Anolis sagrei: one gene and its partner. The protein of the gene in region 2 interacts with the protein of the main gene of each other region in a biochemical or structural test. Links are inferred from orthologs where the notes say so. Each region holds a gene or a part of one and is shown on either strand. Other genes may lie near its edges.

Region 1 (9,286 bases), on a different chromosome or scaffold from region 2:
CAACTGACCAGGAGGACCTCTGTCTTGTCTGGATTAAGCTTCAATCTGTTAGCCCTCATCCAGTCCATCACAGCCATCAGACACTGGTTCAGGGTCTGGGAGGCTTCCTTGGAATTCGGTGGAAATGAGTAGTAAAGTTGGGTGTCATCTGAGTACAGATGGCACCCAACTCCAAAACTCAGGATAACCTCACCCAGCGGTTTCATGTAGACATTGAAAAGCATGGGGGATAGAATGGAACCTTGCGGACCCCACAGGTCAAAGGTCATGGGTCTGAGCAGGTATCCCCCAGCTTCACCAACATCAGGAGAGAATGCTTCTGGAACATGGCCAGACAGCCTGGAAAACTCACAGCAACCCAGCGATTCTGGCCATGAAAGCCTTGGACAACACAAATCTGACAAACGGTCTCAGCCCAAATTACCTGTCCGAACGCATCTCCCCCTATAAACCATCGCGGAGATTAAGATCCTCCGGGGAGGCCCTGCTTTCTGTCCCGCCATTGTCACAGGCGCGATTGGTGGGGACGAGAGACAGGGCCTTCTCGGTGATTGCTCCCCGGCTCTGGAACTCCCTTCCTGGTGAAATCAGGATGGCCCCCTCCCTCCTGTCCTTTAGAAGGATGGTAAAAACTTGGCTGTGGGACCAAGCTTTCGGGACAGGGCAATAAAGCGGCAATAGGAAAGATGACCAGGCCAATTAGATTTGACGGGGATAACTAGGACGTTTTTAAATGGTGTATTTTAATATTTTGATAAATGTTTTTTAATGTTTATGTATTGTATGTGAATTTGTGTCCCAGCATTGAATGTTTGCTGCGTATATGCTGTGCTCCGCCCTCAGTCCCCTTTGGGGTGAGAACAGCGGAATATAAATGTTTTAAATAAATAAATAAATAAATAAATAAATAAATGGTAGTGTGGACTAAGGCCCCTTCCACACATCTGAATAAAATCCCACATTATCTGCTTTGAACTGGATTATATGAGTTCGCACAGCTAGATAATCTGGGATAAACAGAAAACCTGGGATCAGTTGCTGAAATATAGGGCCTGTCTATATCCAAAGAATATCAAGGCAGGAAATCCCACATTATCTGTGTATGGACTCAGATAACCCAGTTCAAAGCAGATATTGTGGGATTTTCTGCCTTGATATTTTGGGATATAGGGCTGGGTGGAAGGGCTCCTACATAGCCATAAGACCCAGAATTTCAAGGCAGAAACCCCCACAATATCTGCTTTGAACTGGGGCTCCTTCCACACAGCTGAATAAAACCCCACATTATCTGCTTTGAACTGGGATATATGGCAGTGTGGACTCAGATAACTTAGGGCCCTTCCATACAGCCATATAACCCAGAATATCATGACAGAAAATCTCACAATATCTACTTTGAAGTGGGTTATCTGAGTCCACCCTGCCATATATTCCAGTTCAAAGCAGATAATGTGGGACTTTATTTAGCTGGGTGGAAGGGGCCCCAGTTCAAAGCAGATCTTGTGGGATTTCCTGCCTTGATATTCTGGGTTATATGGCTGTCTGGATGGGCCCTGGGTTATCTGAGTCTACCCTGCCATATATCCCAGTTCAAAGCAGATAACGTGGGGGGTTTAATTCAGCTGTGTGGAAGGGGCCTCAGATAACCTAATCCCAAGCAGATCTTGGGCCCTTCCACACAGCCGTATGCCTCTGAATATCAAGGCAGGAAATTGGGTTGTTGTAGGTTTTTCGGGCTGCATGGCAATGTTCTAGACCAGGGTTCCTCAAATTTTTAAACAGAGGGCCAGGTCACAGCCCCTCAAACTGTTGGAGGGCCGGATTATAATTTGAAAAAAGCATGAATGAATTCCTATGAACACTGCAAATGTCTTATTTGTAATGCAAAAAACACTTAAAAACAATACAATAATTAAAATGATGAACAATTTTAACAAATATAAATTTATAGTATTTCAAAGGGAAGTGTGGGCCTAATGAGATAGGATTGTTGTTTAGACGGTTTTATACTGTTTATACTGTTTTATATTGTTATTATTACATTATTGTTAATTGTATATTTATGTTTTGATGTGGGCGCCATGGGGTGCCGCTTTGTTAGCCGTCCTCTGCGGAGGTTGAGAAAGGACGGGATATAAAAGCCCTAAATAAATAATAATAAATATTGATCTACTCACATTTGCATGTTTTCGAACTGCTAGGTTGGAAGAAGCTGGGGTTAATAGCTAACATTTGAACCTGCGACCTTTCGGTCAACAAGTTCAGCAGCTCCGTGCTATAACCACCAGGGGCTCAAAGGGGGTGAGGGAGAGGGCCTTCTCGGTAGTGGCCCCTTGACTCTGGAACTCACTGCCCAAAGACATCAAACATGCCCCAACTTTGGCAGTCTTTAGGAGGAGCCTGAAAACGTGGTTGTTCCAGTGTGCCTTCCCAAAATAAGGAAATACTCTCAGCAATAGGTCCTCTAAATGCACTTTATCATTGATTTAGGATTGTTTGCTTGCCCCATCTCTTGCCAAAAATTCTATCCCAGTATTCTACCTTGTTCATGCCCAGCATTATTTTTTTATTTTTTATTCTCACATTCGGCCCAGCCATAGTATGAATGAATGGTTTATTGTACTAGCCATAGGCCATGACATCAGTAATACACTAACTTAATAAACACTTTCCAATATAAACCTTAAAATGTAACAAGAATTAAAACTAAAACAAGTTCTTTAAAATTATGAAAGCAGACACATGACAATGACAGTGTCTGCTTTGTGTCATTCCAAACCGTTTCCATTTCTGACCCCCAGTATGGATTTTGCTGCTTTGGCTCCGATCTTTGGCCCAGCCATAGGTTTTTAAATGCTTGTTGTTACTGTTTATTTTTTGTTTGTGAGATTTATTTTGATTGTTTTGTATTGATGTTTTGTTATTGCTTTTACGATGGTTCTTCTATGGGCTCGGCCTCATGTAAGCCGCACGGAGTCCCTTGGGGAGATGGTAGCGGGGTAGAAAGAAAGTTTTATTTAATTGTATATTTTATTTAATTGTATATTTATGTTTTGATGTGGGCGCCATGGGGTGCCGCTTTGTTAGCCGTCCGGAGTCCCTCTGCGGAGGTTGAGAAAGGACGGGATATAAAAGGTGATCTGTAAATATGTAGTCCTTATGAGGGAATATTGGGGTGGCCAAAGGCTATAGCTGAAAAGTAGTCCAAACTTTGTGCATATCTTAAACAAAGGGGGTGCAGCCTTAAATTCCAAGCATCAGCGTGCCTCTTAGGACTATTTCTATACACTCCTTTTTGCACATTGTTGTCCCACTGCTAAAAGCTAGGGATATAATTTATCAGGGAACCTATATAAGGGAATGCTTTTTAAAAAATAATAAAATACAATTGGCTACGCCAAAAAAAAAAAAGAAAGTTTGATTATGATGATGATTAGAAAGGGATTACGGTGGGATTACGGTGCCTTGATATTCTGGGCTCGAGGGCTGTGCGGAAGGAAGTCCGGAAGGCCTAGAGAAAGCACCCTCCAGCTGTCTGAGCCTCCAACTCCCAGAAGCCCTAACGAACTTGTTCAATTGCCAACTGGGAGTTGAAGGCCCAAAGAGTTTGAGGACGCCTGGCCTAGAGAGGCGGCGGAGCCTCCTTCTCTGGAGGCGGGTGGCCATCTGTCGGGAGGGTTTGGCTGGTGGCCTGGCGGGGGGGGGGGGGGTGGGACTCCAGGCGGCGGCCCCCTAGGGGTGGCTTCGGGGGAGGCCGGAATGGCTGAGGAGGGGGAGAAGGGAGGCGGACGGGAGAGCGCCCCCTGCCGGCCGGCCGCCCTCCTTCCGCAGCGCTTCTCCCTCCCCCTGGCCCCAAAGAAGGGAAGCCCACTTACCCCGTTGAGCCTGGGCTTGGCGGCCCCGCGGGAGGGCTTCTCGGCGGCGTCTGCGGCGGAGGGGGCGGCTGGGCCTGAGTCCGGCCCTGCCTGGCCCGCCTGCTCCTGGGCGCTGCCTTGGGGGCCCTTGGGCATCATCATCGCCGCCGCCGCCGTCCTCCTCTTCCTCCTCCTCCTCCTCCTGCCTTCTCCTCCTCCTCCTCCGGCTCCTGCGGGGAGAGAGAGGGGGGCGTCCAGGGCGATGCTGGGGGGCGCCGGGGGGAGGGCCGGGGCCGGAGGGGCCACGGGGGCCGGGGGCCTGGGGCGCGGAGGGGCCCTGCTCGCCTTCATGGCCGCCCTCGAGCCCCTGCCCACCCACTCTGCCCCACAGCCCTCGCCGCCTCGACGACCGACGACGCCGCCATTGTGACGTCGGCCACGCGATTGCCCAACCCCTCCCGCCCAGAGGGCTTCCTCGCCCTGGCCTCTCTCACACACTCAGCCCTCTCAGTCAGTCTCCTTCCAAAACGACAACACAGGCACACCAAGTCTGGCCATCTGTCGGGAGGGCTTGGATTGTGCCTATTATTATTATTAATAATAAAACAGTTCATATTATTAATCTATATCAATAAACATGTAATCTTCGTTTGTGGGATTAACAGAACTCAAAACCACTGGACAAATTGTCATCAAATTTGGGCCCAAGACACAACAACCCAATGTATGCCCTTCACTCCAAAAAAATGATTTTGTCATTTGGGAGTTGTAGTTGCTGGGATGTATAGTTCACCTACAATCAAAGAGGATTCTGAACTCCACCAACAATGAAAATGAACCAAACTTGGAACACAGAACTCCCATGACCAACAGAAAATACTGTAAGGGTTTGGTGGGCATTGACCTTGAGTTTGGGAGTTGTAGTTCACCTACATCCAGAGAGCGCTGTGGACTCAAACAATGATGGATCTGGACCACGCTTGGCATATTTGGGCATATTACATATGCCCAAACATGAAAACAGATGGAGTCTGGGAGAAATAGACCTTGACATTTGGGAGTTGTAGTTGCTGGGATTTATAGTTCACCTACAATCAAATAGCATGCTGAACCCTACCAACAATGGAATTGAACCAAGCTTGTCACACAGTTCTCCCATCACCAACAGAAAATACTGGCTGGGTTTGGTGGGCAGTGTCCTTTGGCTTGGGAGTTGTAGTTCACCTACACCCAGAGATCACTGTGGACTCAAACAATGATGGATCTGGACCCAAATATACACAAATACTCAATATGCCCAAATGTGAACACTGGTGGAGTTTGGGGAAAATGGAATCTTGACATTTGGGAGTTGTTGCTGGGATTTATAGTTCACCTACAATCAAGAGCAGCATTTCTCAACCTGGGGGTTGGGACCCCTACGGGGGGGTCATGAGGGGGTGTCAGGGGTCACCACAGAACATCAGAAAACAGTATTTTGTAGGTGAACTATAAATCCCAGAAACTACAACTCCCAAATATCAAAGTCTGTTTTCTCCAAAATCCACCAGTGTTCACATTTGGGCGTATTGAGTATTCAAGGCAAGTTTGGTCCAGATCCATCATTGTTGGAATCCACAGTGCTCTCTGGATGTAGGTGAAGTACAACTCCAAAACTCAAGGTCAATGCCCACCAGACCAAGTTCTGTGTGCCAAGTTTGGTTCAATTCCATTGTTGGTGTAGTTCAGAATGCTCTTTGATTGTAGCTGAACTAATAATCCCAGCAACTACAACTCCCAAATGACAAAATCAATCCAACCCTACCAGTAATCAAATGTGGGCGTATCGGGTATTTCTGCCAAATTTGTCCAGTGAATGACGATACATCCCGCTTCTCAGATATTTACATTATTTATTTATTTATTTATTTACGACATTCCTATGCCGCCCTTCTCACCCTGAAGGGGACTCAGAGTGGCTTATGAGATATATATATACATACAATATATTATATTATTAGCATAGTACAATATCAGTATTAAATATTACTATATTGTAATATTATTAGTAATATTACATGTAATATAAAATATATAATTATAATATCAGTAGCAAAACCACAGTTATGAAGTAGCAACGAAGATAAGTTTATGGTTGGGGGGTCACCACAACATGAGGAACTGTATTAAGGGGTCGAGGCATCAGGAAGGTTGAGAATCACTGATCAAGAGCATTCGGAACCCCACCAACGATGGAATTGGGCCAAACTTGGCACACAGTTCTCCCATGACCAACAGAAAATACTGGAAGGGTTTGATGGGCAGTGTCCTTTGGTTTTGGAGTTGTAGTTCACCTACACCCAGAGATCACTGTGGACTCAAACAATGATGGATCTGGACCCAAATATACACGAATACTCAATATGTTCAAATGTGAACACTGGTGGAGTTTGGGGAAAATGGAATCTTGACATTTGGGAGTTGTTGCTGGGATTTATAGTTCACCTACAATCAAGAGCAGCGTTTCTCAACCTGGGGGTTGGGACCCCTAGGGGGGTCATGAGGGGGTATCAGAGGGGTCACCACAGAACATCAGAAAACACAGTATTTTGTAGGTGAACTATAAATCCCAGCAACTACAACTCCCAAATATCAAAGTCTGTTTTCTCCAAAATCCACCAGTGTTCACATTTGGGCGTGTGAACACTGGTGGAGTTTGGGGAAAATGGAATCTTGACATTTGGGAGCTGTAATTGCTGTAATTTATAGTTCACCTACAATCACAGAGCATTCTGGACCCCACCAACTATAGAATTGGGCCAAACCTCCCACACAGAACCCCCATGTGGGCCACAGCAACGCGTGGCAGGGGCCAGCTAGTTCATAATAAAAGGATTGAAAAGAGAAAATAGTGAGCAATTAAAAGGAACAACAAGTAAAATATATAAAATACTAATTAAAGACATGGGGGGGGGGGGAGAGAAAAGACTACCATTAAGAGAATTATGGGAGGAGGGAGTAGCAACAATGAGAACTGAAAAAGAATGGGAAGAGATATGGAAAGCAAGACACTTACAAAACATGTCAATTAGAATAAAAGAAAACTATTGTAAACTAATTTGGAAATGGTATTTAACACCGAGAATGTTAAACATGAATAAGAACAATAATGAAAAATGTTGGCGAGGATGCCAAGAAATTGGAACCTACATGCATATGTGGTGGGACTGCAAATATATAAAAGAGTTTTGGGAATTGGTTATAACAGAAATAGAAAATATTATGGATATAAAAATTAGGAGGAATCCAGTAGAAATATTACTTTTAATTAATAAAGAGGATGGGAAAGATAAGGGGAAAAAATAATAGACATGTTATGAACAGCAGCTAGACTATTAATTGCAAAATATTGGAAGGGGGCAATGAAAATACAGATTAATGAATGGTATAAAGAAATCTGGAAAATGGCATTGAACGATAAGCTAACATCAAACTTAAAAGTAAAGAAGGGATTATGTAAAAAAATGACTTTGAAAGTATCTGGAGAAAATTTCTAGAAAAATCATTGGAAAACAAGTATGGGAATTTACCTCCAAATGAAGAACTGATGTTTTGGTGGGACTTTTGGAAGAGAGATGGCTATGGAGAAGGGGAGCACAGGGGTGAATGTAAATAAAAGAGTGCAAAATGTATAATATATGTCTATATAACTGTATTTTCTCTTCTCAAATGAAAATAAAAATAAATAAAATAGAAAACAAAACAAAATCATATGGAAGACTTTTCCCTCTCAAGTGCTTCTAAAGGACAAACAATGGCACTGTCCCACAAACAAGTATGGTTTTACAGTGGGGAACAAAGTATTTAGTCAGATATCAATTGTAATAATAATAATAATAATAATTTTAAAAAAAACTTTATTTGTACCCCACCACCATCTCCCCGAAGGGACTCAGGCCGGCTTACATGAGGCCAAGCCCATCAAATACAACAATACATCCACAAACAAGCAAGCAAATAAAACAATACAAATAATACAATTGCAATAACACAAAAAAGATTTAAAAACATTATGGCGGGCCAGATGTAGATTAACATTTTTAAAACCCTGGGAGTGTACAGAGTAGGGTATGTCTAGGTATGGGGTTTTAACAAGTGGTATGGGGAGGTCAATCCAATGGATAGATAAAGTGCTTTAGAGGACGTATAGGAGATTGGTCAGATCAGGCATTATTTCCTTCATTCAGGGAAGGCACACTGGAACAGCCACCTTTTCAAGCTCCTCCTAAAGACTGCCAAAGTGGGGGCTTGCCTGATATCTTTAGGTAGAGAGTTCCAGAGTTGGGGGGGCAACCATAGAGAAAGCCCTCCCCTCGTCCCCACCAATCGCGCCTGCAAAGGGGGCGGGAGCGAGAGCAGGGCCTCTCCAGATGATCGAAGAGATCGCGTGGGTTCATAAACCGAAATGTACAAGTTCTCCCACTTAAAAAGATGAGAGAAGCCTGTAATTGACATCATAGGTAGACCTCAACTATGAGAGACCAACATGAGAAAACACATCTAGAAAATCACATTGTCTGTTCTTTTTAAATGAATTTGTTTGCAAACTAGCCGTCCCCTGCCATGCGTTGCTGTGGCCCAGTCTGGTGATCTGAAAATTAAAGTAATGGGGAAGTGTTGGTTTCTAATATATGTAATTTCTTGATGCTTGTGGGTAAACAGTATTTGATTACGTTTTCTTGCCCTGGTGAGGGGAGTTGGACTGGATGGCTTTAAGTATTTTCTATTGGTCATAGGGGTTCTCTGTGGGAAGTTTGCCCCAATTCTATCGTTCGTGGGGTTCAGAAGGCTCTTTGATTGTAGGTGAACTATCAATCCCAGTAACTACAATTGTCAAGAACACAGATGGAGTTGACATTTGGGAGTTGTAGTTACTGGGATTTATAGTTCACCTACAACCCAAATGTCAAGGTCTATTTCCCCAAGCTCCATCTGTGTTCCTAGTTGGGCATATGGAATATTCGTGCCAAGTTTGGTCCAAATCCATCATTGTTTCAGTCCACAGTGCTCTCTGGAGGTAGGTGAACTACAACTCCAAAACTCAAGATCAATGCCCACCAAACCCTTTCAGTATTTTCTGTTGGTCATGGGACTTCTGTGTGGGAAGATTGGTTCAATTCCATCATTGGTGGAGTTCAGAATGCTCTTTGATTGTAGGTGAAGTATACATCACAGCAACTACAACTCCCAAATGAAAAACTAATTTTTTTTTAGTGATGGTCATTCCTTGGGTTAATAGGTGTCTTGTAGCCAAATTTGGCCGCAATTCGTCCAGTGGTTTTTGAGTTATGTTAATCCCACAAATGAACATTACATTTTTATTTATATGGACTAGCCGTCCCCTGCCACGCGTTGCTGTGGCCCAGTCTGGTGATCTGGAAAATAAAGTAATT
Region 2 (9,497 bases):
CCCAGTTCAAAGCAGATAATGTGGGATTTTATTCAGCTGTGTGGAAGGGGCTTTAGTTTCAGGATTATATTTGTATCTCAGCAGAAGGAAAAGCCTTACAAAGCTTTATGAAGGCTGGGGGAAGGAGAATGGAGATAAGATAAACAGATACTTAGTATACCTTTTTTATTACATCGAGTATCCCAAACCATGATGTTTCCATCTCTTCCTCCTGTACAGAACACCGCTGTGAAATATAAAAATAAGATGCTTCATTTTTTAAAAAAGGGATAAAGGTCAATACCAAATCCCTTTGAGGAACTCTCCTCTTCAAGAGATATGTCCAGGCCATTCTAATCCAGGCTCTTAGCCCTCCACACTCCCAGCTCTGTTTTGCAATTGGGTGATTTAAATTCCCATGTTCTCTTCTTAAAGGGGGATTGTCAATATGGCCAGATGATGATGATAACATTAACACTTACCACTCTCAAATTTGGAGAAAGCAACGGACTTCAGGCTGCACTGGTGCCCTTTGCACACCCCAAGAAGTTCACCAGTCCTTACATCCCACACTTTTGCCGTCTGATCTCCTGAAGCAGTTACCTGAACGATAAAAATATGAGTTAACTATTATTTGCAGTGAGTGACACCAAACTGTTGAATATCTTATCAGACTATAAACTTATTGAGACAGGGCCTTTTGAAGGGAAAGCCTGATATTTCATCAACTATGTACAGCAAGGGCCCCCTGGTGGCGCAGTGGGTTAAACCACTGAGCTGCTGAACTTGCTGACCGAAAGGTTGGCGGTTCCAGTGTGGGGAGCGGGGTGAGCTCCCACTGTTAGCCCCAGCTTCTGCCAATCTAGCAGTTTGAAAACATGCAAATGTGAGTAAATCAATAGGTATCGCTTCTGCAAGAAGGTAATGGCACTCCATGCAGTCATGCCGACCACAAGACTTTGGAGATGTCTATGGATAATGTCAGCTCTTCAGCTTAGAAATTGAGATGAGCATCACCTCCCAGAACTGGACACAATTAGACTTAATGTCAGGGGAAACCTTTACTATCTTATGTACAACAAAGTTTGAGAGAAGTGCTATATACATGTTTACTCCAGCAAATTCAGTGGGACCTACTCTCAGGTGTACATGAAGAAAGTAAACAAGCATATACATAGCTTGACTTGAGAGTACAAGTTAACAGATATACAGATGTGTCTTAGTACTTAGAATGCAAAATATATATACCTTATAGAATTAATGGAATCAGAAGTGTCTTGGAAGTAATTTTGTCTCAAGCTTTCTATTGCAAGGTCCAACAATTTCCCCCATAAATATGTTCCCATACTTGTGCCCATTGACTATAATGTTTTACTTTCCTAGAAATTTGGCTTCTTCTAAGCCCCGTTGAACATAAGGGCAAGATAATACTACTTTACTCACAATTTTGTGTTCTCTGGGCATCCAGGCAAGGTCAAAAACAGCATTTGAATGCGCTTGCCATTCTGAAGGGAAACAAAAAACAAAATCCACATTAATCATTAAGAGTTAAAAGAATATGGTCTATTTATTTACCTCTCTGTATGCTGTGAAATTCAATTTTTCAAGAATGCCAAGTAAGTTTAAGCACATCCTAAAAATGGCCCAGCATTTATCAGAACAATTTAGCACAATCAAGTGTTGTGTTTACCTCTAAAAATCTTTTTGCTGCTTGTTGATGCATGAGTATCATACAGCCTAACGATCCCCTCTTCATTTGCAACAGCAAGAATATGTTGTGCATTGGGAGCTGGAAAATAAATAAGCAAAATGTCTGTTTCTAAAAGTTTTACAAGTAACAGTAATGTATAACACTCTGCTAAAATTACTGCTTACCTACTTGACAAAAAAAACACAGAAGTAAAATGGAGATAAACCTACAGGACAGTATTAAGAGATCAAGACTAGATGTCAGTCTGTGATCTGCACGCATTCGCTGATACATCACGCAGTCCTAGACACTTGGGAAGTGTCTGAAAGGTGATCAAATACAAAAGCCAGCAGTGACCTTGTTTGCTGTATACTAATCTTGCTATGTATCAAATAATACGCTTTATTTATATTCCACCCTTCTCCCTGATTTATTATTTATGTATTTCCAACTTAATGGGAAGTTTAGTTTCACAATCCTTTGTTTCTTTATGAGCTCCCTGCAAATAACTTACTCCTATTCTTATCTCATTCGAGTTTTTAAACATTTTATTCTGAACATGTGGCCTTCCCACTGTCACTGTGATTGTGTTTATTGGAATGTTACTTTGTTATTGTATTCATATGTTTTTTAATGTAATTTTGATGCTGTTGCTTGTTGCTTATGTTTTGGTTTTATTTTGCTGTAATGTGTTGTCCGGGCTTGGCCTCATGTAAGCCTTCCCAAGTCCCCGTTGGGGAAGATGGTGGCGGGGTATAAATAAAGTTTATTATTATTATTTACATACACAGACAAAGAGTCAGTGCATTTATAATTATATATGATACACAAACACAAACAAAGGCAGAGGGTTCTCCGTTCATTTCCAGCTTCTGGAGGTGGTGCTCATCTCAGGCTCTGGGAAGGTGCTTTCTTCATTTTCAAGCCAAAGAGCCTGTGTTGTCACCTTCCTGGTTGTGTGGCCGGCAAGATTTCTTGGAGTGTCTCTGTCTTTTCCTGCCAAAGCAGTACCTATTTATCTACTCACATTTGCATGTTTTCGAACTGCTATGTTGGCAGGAACTGTCTTGTGGATTTGAACCTCCGACCTTCCAGTCAGCAATTCAGCCAACCGTCAGGTCAGAAGTTCAACAAAATGAGGGTTTAACCCTCCAAGGTCATTTACCCAGCCCTCACTCAGGGTCAACATAAGTCTGAAATGACGTGAAAGCACACCACAACAACAACCCTATCTCATCAGCCAAAAGCAGGCACACATTTCCCATTGAAATACTAACAAGTTTATATTTGTTAAAATTGTTCTTTTCAATTACTATACTGTTTTATGTGTTTTTTGCACTACACATAAGATATGTGCGGTGTGCATAGGAATTTATTCATATTTTTTTCAAATTATAATTTGTTCAACTGTTTGAGGGACTGTGACCTGGCCCTCTGTTTAAAAAGTTTGTGGACCCATTGCGCCACCGCGGACTACTGATCGTAATCTAAACACAAAAGGAAAGAACTACAAATGTTCACAAATTGGACAACCCCCTCCATTGTACCTGTTGAAAAGGTGCACCCGAAAGGAGGAACCGGGATTCCCATTTCTCCAAAGGACGGATGGTCATCTTCTCTAGTACAAGAATAGCACCCTAGAAGGTGCTGTAAGGAAAATCTTGGCAGCAGACCTACATAGAAACAATAATAAGGTGGGGAAAAACAATAATTAGCTGCTAATACCAAAGGTCACTTCTGCTTCAGTGTTTATGGGCCAGGCATGGGTAAACTTGGGCCCTCCCTCCAGGTGTTTTGGACTCCAACTCCCACCATTCCTAACAGCCTCAGGCCCCTTCCTTTTCCCCCTCAGCCGCTTAAGCGGCTGAGGGGGAAAAGGAAAGGGCCTGAGGCTGTTAGGAATGGTGGGAGTTGGAGTCCAAAACACCTGGAGGGCACTAAAATCCCCATGTGTTCCCCGCAATATATATTGCAAGCACAGAAATCCAAACCCACCATGCGGTCCACCTTGGCAGCGATGGACGAGGGAGCGGCACAGCATGGTAAACAGAGCTCAAGACCTCCTTGGCTCTCCGCGCGGCGCCAACTGAAACTCCCAGCCCATCCCCTAACTCCCGCCAACCCGAACTACGCGCCAAAGTCACTTCCTTGCTTCCCATTGGTTATAGCAGAAACACAAACCACGCCCCTGTTTTCCTATTGGTTCCCACTTTACCACCTTCCTCGCGAGACCACGCCCACCGCCCTTCAGCTTTCCATTGAAATGAGAACCGGCTTTCCTTGCAGTGGCGCATGCGCATCGACTCCTTAAAAACCGGACTGCGCGCATGCGCGCTAGGCACGTCAAGGCGCACGCGCGCCCGTTTGCACATGCGCGCTAGCTTCTGCTCGTGAGGGAGAGGGAAGGCGGTGCGCGCCGAGTTGTGTCCGAGTGGAAATGGAAATAATAAACTTTTTTCTCTCCCTCCCTTTCCTGTGAGGGGTTTTGTTTGTATACTACACAACAACATGGCCTCGGCTTCCAAATCCTTTCTTGCCGACGCCGGCTATGGCGAACAAGAACTGGATGCAAACTCCGCCCTCATGGAGCTGGATAAAGGTAAGAGGGAAAGCGAGGGATGTGCGCATGCGCCGAAGTCACAGTGATGGCCTTGTTTGACCGAAGCCCCGCCCCTTTATCCTGAGGCGGGGAATTTGAAAGGGAGAGGCGGGGTTTGTTTTCAGGAGAATTAGTGCTGTCTGACACGTCATGGCTCGAGGCGATGGCATCTTGGGAATTGTAGTTTTACAACCTTCACTGCCAAATTGTGCTGGTTCCTCACCAAACTATTTATTTACGACATTTATGTGCCGCCATGGCTATTCAAGTGGCGCCAAACTGTATTTATTTTATTTTTATTTATTTACAGTATTTGTATACCGCTTTTCTCGCCCCGAGGGGGGCTCAAAGCTGTTTACACATAAGCAATGGCAAAAATTCAATGCCAGTACAAACAATTACAATTATACACTACAATTAGACATAAATCAAATTAAAAAATCATAGAATCAAAGAGTTGGAAGAGACCTCATGGGCCATCCAGTCCAACCCCCTGCCAAGAAGCAGGAATATTGCATTCAAAGCATCCCTGACAGATGGCTATCCAGCCTCTGTTTAAAAGCTTCCAAAGAAGGAGCCTCCACCACACTCCGGGGCAGAGAGTTCCACTGCTGAACGGCTCTCACACTCAGGAAGTTCTTCCTAATGTTCAGAGATGGAATCTCCTTTCTTGTAGTTTGAAGCCATTGTTCCAGGTCCTAGTCTCCAGGGCAGCAGAAAACAAGCTTGCTCCGTCCCCCCTATGACTTTATCTCACATATTTCTACATGGCTATCATGTTTCTTCTCAGCCTTCTCTTCTTCAGGCTAAACATGCCCAGCTCTTTAAGCCACTCTTCATAGGGTTTGTTCTCCAGACCCTTGATCATTTTAGTTGCCCTACTCTGGACACATTCTCTGGAAGACCTGTATTTGCATATTTCTCCATAATCTTGGTGATAGGACCCAGGCCTAAACACAAAATTTGGCAGAGAAGTCTTTAAAAAACTTGTAAAACTACAACTCCAATGGTTCCATAGCATTCAACTACAGCAGTTGAACTGCATGAATTATCCAGTATTAATTCTCTGCCTTAGGCCCTTGAGTGGGGAAAGGCGGGATAAAAATTGCCTAAATTAATTAAATGCTCCTTTTGTCTCTCAGCCAAGTAATAACCAGAATTGACCCTGCTTAACTTCCAGCATCAGATGGCCTTGTTACATATTTCACCCAACATTCATAGTCTGCTTCATTTCATAGTCTGCTTCATTATCTCTGCTTCTATGCCTTTAGGTGCTGTGCTGATTTTACTTTCTGTTGCAGGTCTTCGATCTGGCAAACTTGGGGAGCAGTGTGAAGCTGTTGTCCGTTTTCCCAGACTCTTTCAGAAGTATCCATTCCCGATTCTAATTAACTCAGCATTTTTAAAACTTGCTGATGTTTTCAGAGTTGGGTAAGCTAAACTTGTATGTTCTGGATTTGTAGTATTGAAGCACTGAGTTGCTTTTAATTCAAAGCACTGCTGATAGCCATTTCTTGGGGCGTTGTGGTTAGAAGCAGGTTGACTAGGAAATGTTCTTCTGTATAGGTCTTGCCCACTCAGGGTGCTTCCATACAGTGCCAAAATGCGGATTAAAAGGGGAAAGATAAAAAGCTCTCAGAGCAGGTCCCCGCACAGATCGGTCCCAGGCTTTCTTCCCCTGCTGTCCTCACAGCCCTTCTTTTTGAAATGGGTTTCCCTCTGTTGCTGCGATTGAGCGCGCATTTAGCGGAAATGTCATCTCTCCCCCCCCCCCCCTTAACTTGTTCTCGCCCGGATTATAGCTATTGTATGGAAGAACCTTTAGTGATAGATCAAGTGGAAATTGTGTTGTGGTATTTTATGGAAACCACAGAAAAGCTGTGTAGGTACCCTCACCCTAGCATGGAAATTTCCTATTGAGGGATGCTTCTTCTTGCCTTTTGCCTGTTAATACCCATTTGATATATGGCAAAGTCACCCTTTTAAGAACTCTTACGTGCCATAACATCTGCTTGGAGTTTTCACTCTGCACTGGAATTTTAATTATGATTATTAATTATTAATTCATTTGCAAGAGCCAGTATGATTATGGCATTTTGAGTGGCGGTCTAGGTCTCAGGGAGGTTCGGGTTGGAATCCCACCTTGATCATAAAGTGGGATTTGGTGAAGCCATACTCTCTCAACCTCAGAGGAAAACAATAGCAAGTCTTGCTAAGGAAATCCCACTTATGTTTTATTTTTCCACTTTTTGGACTTTCATTCAGTTGTCATTGTGATGTAGTTGTGATTCTTTGGTACTGTTGATTTTCTATTGCTACCTGCCTCAGACTTTTTATAGAAATTGGAAACATAATGATTTTTAGTAATTAAAATATTATTTCAAAACAGAAACAACTTCCTGAGACTCTGTGTTTTGAAAGTTACTCAGCAGAGTGAGAAACACTTGGAGAAGATCTTGAATGTGGATGAGTTTGTGAAAAGAGTTTTCTCAGTTATTCACAGTAACGATCCAGTTGCACGCGCCATCACACTCAGGTATGCACACTTAACTCAGCAAGGATCTGCCCAGATGCTGCATTCTGGAGGGTGCCACTTATAGTGGGCAATGTGAACATATTAAGCAGGTATATGCTGAGAAAGATTATTAGTTTGTGTACTGTTTCCTCTGATTTGCAAATGATCTTCAGGGTATCTGATGGAGTCTTTCCCAGTTCTGTGGCATGGATTCATTTTTAATTGGATAAGTTAGGGATTGACTGAGCTGCAGGGAAAAGTGTATTCTATGACTGGATTATAATTGTTCCCCAAGACTTCAATTTCAACAGTGTGAAGAAATGGCAATAAAGTTGCCCAGAATGTATTTTATGTTTATGTTTAACAACTGAATAATATTGTATGATAACATTGAAAAGACACAGTAAAAAAGAACATTTTGATTTATGTTTAGGTGATACATTTTTGAACAGCTGAGTGTCTATTTTGTTACTTGAAAGAGAGGTTTTCAAGTTGGTTTGAGCACCTTTTTTATTCTGAACCAAGGCATACCTAAAGCAGGCTTTATGATAGCAGCAGTATTGTGATCAAAAATGGCACAATAATGTGAAAAGGGCAGGGAAAAAAGGCTTTTGACATAGCCTCTAGGTTTGGCTATTGGTTGTTTTGATAGTTTGACTGTTGATAGTTATGTTTTATGATGTTTTTATTTTAATTTTACTGTTTTATATTTTAATCTTTCTCTGACTGGGCTTTGTCCCCATGTAAGCCGCCTTTAGTCCCTTCGGGCAGATGGTGGCAGAATACAAAAATAAAGTTGTTGTTGTTGTTGGTGGAATGGCAAGATATTAAAAGTGTAGTTCATCATAAGCAGGTTCCTGAGCTCTTTCTTCATGTTCCTCTATTTTGTTCTCCAGGATGTTGGGTAGCATGGCATCCATAATTCCAGAAAGGAAAAATGCGCATCACAGTATTCGCCAGAGTCTGGATTCTCATGATAATGTAGAGGTTGAAGCTGCTATTTTTGCGGCAGCTAATTTTTCTGCTCAGTCCAAGTAAGTAGAATGCCTGCAGAACATCTGTTTTTCATGAGTGCAAAGGCAGTGACATTGAATACTTGCCATTTATATGGTGCTTTATCTACTAATATTAGCAATCCCTACGACAAATCTGTCAGTGTTTTATTGTAGAAGGAAGAAAACTGAGTCTGAACAATGATTGTTTACCTAGCATCATCAATATAGTGTGTATCAATATTGTGCTTGGTTTTATTTTTTGGTTAGTTGCTGCTAGATTTGAGGTAATAAATGGGATAAAGTTTAAGTAATAAATAAGTGATTGTCTTGTAGCAGACTTTGCTTCATTGATGGATAAAACTGATACAAAATCAATAATGAGCTCAGGAAAAGGACGGGATAAAAATCAGGGATTTTTTTCCTTCATTTTCCAGGCTGTTGCACTCATAAGAAGTTGAATTGTACTGTTAGTCTTTTATGCATTGCACAAAATTAGTTGCAACTAAAATATCTAGGCCCCTTCTAGACAGCTGTATAAAATCCCACATTATCTGCTTTGAACTGAGTTATATGGCACTGTGGACTCAAATGACCTAGTTCAACGCAGATATTGTAGATGATCTGCCTTGGTATTCTGGGTTATATGACTGTGTGGAAGGGCCCCTAGATGCATTCTCCTCTATATCTGCTTTCTCAGAATAAGGGTTTCTGGATTTTCAGTACAATTGGAGGCAAAAAATGTGATATTGTCTTTTTTAAGGTATGCTGAAATAATAGTGGTGCAGATCTTAAGTTACTATCTTCACCAAAACTTCTCAAAACTCTGAGCAGCCTTTTTAAAGAACCTACAGAGAAAAAGAGTAATGGGGACATAATTACATCATTGTATCATTTGGCTTAATATCTTGTTCATTTGGTCAGTATTAGCTGACAAAAGAGGACGATATAAAGATCTAGATTTCTCAGTTGTCGCCTCAATTTGTGTCCTCTGCTTGGGGTTTGCTTATTCTGTTCTCCCTGTGTTATTAAGCACAGTTGTGTATGATTACAGTGGCATAATCTGAACAAACTAACATTTTAATGAACATTAGTGGTCGCAGTGAGTCAGAAAAATCAGCTTCAGTCTTTTTGTAGTTCATTCAGTTCTATAACTAATTTCTTCTTCTCTACTATTGATAGAGATTTTGCCGGAGGAATATGTAACAAAATCAGTGAAATGATTCAAGGTACAGCCATTTACCTAATAATTTATTTTTAAATAATTTTCAGTTTGGCATTTGTACTTGTATTCATGCTTCTGATGTGGGGGTTCTTTCCTTTTTTAAAAATTAAAATCTTTTTGGCATTTTGACAGATATATCCCAATGAATTTGCAGCTCAGTTTGAAGACCTAGAGATTGCAATGTGTTGCTCTTTTTCTTTCTGTGGGCCTGGCATCTCTTATTGTAATATAGTGTTTTACTGTTGTATATTTGAAGAGGAGTTCTCTCTTTCTTTGTCATATTTTCAACTAAAATGATTTATAACAGGTTTAGAAGATAGTGAAAGAGTAAGAAAATGCTGAAAAATTATTTAGATCTCACAATACACCAAGGGGTTGTATCCATGGAAGGCCAAGGGCCATATGAACCCAACATTACAGTTCTTGGACCTTTGCACTTGTACCAGTCACTTTCTTGGTGTAAAAAAGTTCACTTCTAGTTTTCTAATTTTTTTCTG

What was found.
Region 1: the proteins of DTL (region 2) and KMT5A form a complex in vitro, tested with the Homo sapiens proteins (2 studies listed by BioGRID, with this or other methods). The link is inferred for Anolis sagrei from reciprocal best matches to the Homo sapiens genes DTL and KMT5A.

What each region holds. Positions count from the first base shown.
Region 1 is NC_090034.1:41,651,988-41,661,273, forward strand, and holds the start of KMT5A (N-lysine methyltransferase KMT5A), read right to left. Parts: upstream 4,292-9,286; 5' UTR 4,206-4,291; coding exon 3,876-4,205; intron 1-3,875. UniProt on the Homo sapiens protein: Protein-lysine N-methyltransferase that monomethylates both histones and non-histone proteins. Specifically monomethylates 'Lys-20' of histone H4 (H4K20me1).
Region 2 is NC_090021.1:32,416,818-32,426,314, reverse strand, and holds the start of DTL (denticleless protein homolog), read right to left. Parts: upstream 3,781-9,497; 5' UTR 3,711-3,780; coding exon 3,665-3,710; intron 3,343-3,664; coding exon 3,217-3,342; intron 1,769-3,216; coding exon 1,670-1,768; intron 1,485-1,669; coding exon 1,423-1,484; intron 583-1,422; coding exon 462-582; intron 227-461; coding exon 161-226; intron 1-160. Other genes in the region: INTS7 (integrator complex subunit 7), read left to right, coding at 4,178-4,268, 5,570-5,699, 6,658-6,804, 7,680-7,817, 8,958-9,004. UniProt on the Homo sapiens protein: Substrate-specific adapter of a DCX (DDB1-CUL4-X-box) E3 ubiquitin-protein ligase complex required for cell cycle control, DNA damage response and translesion DNA synthesis.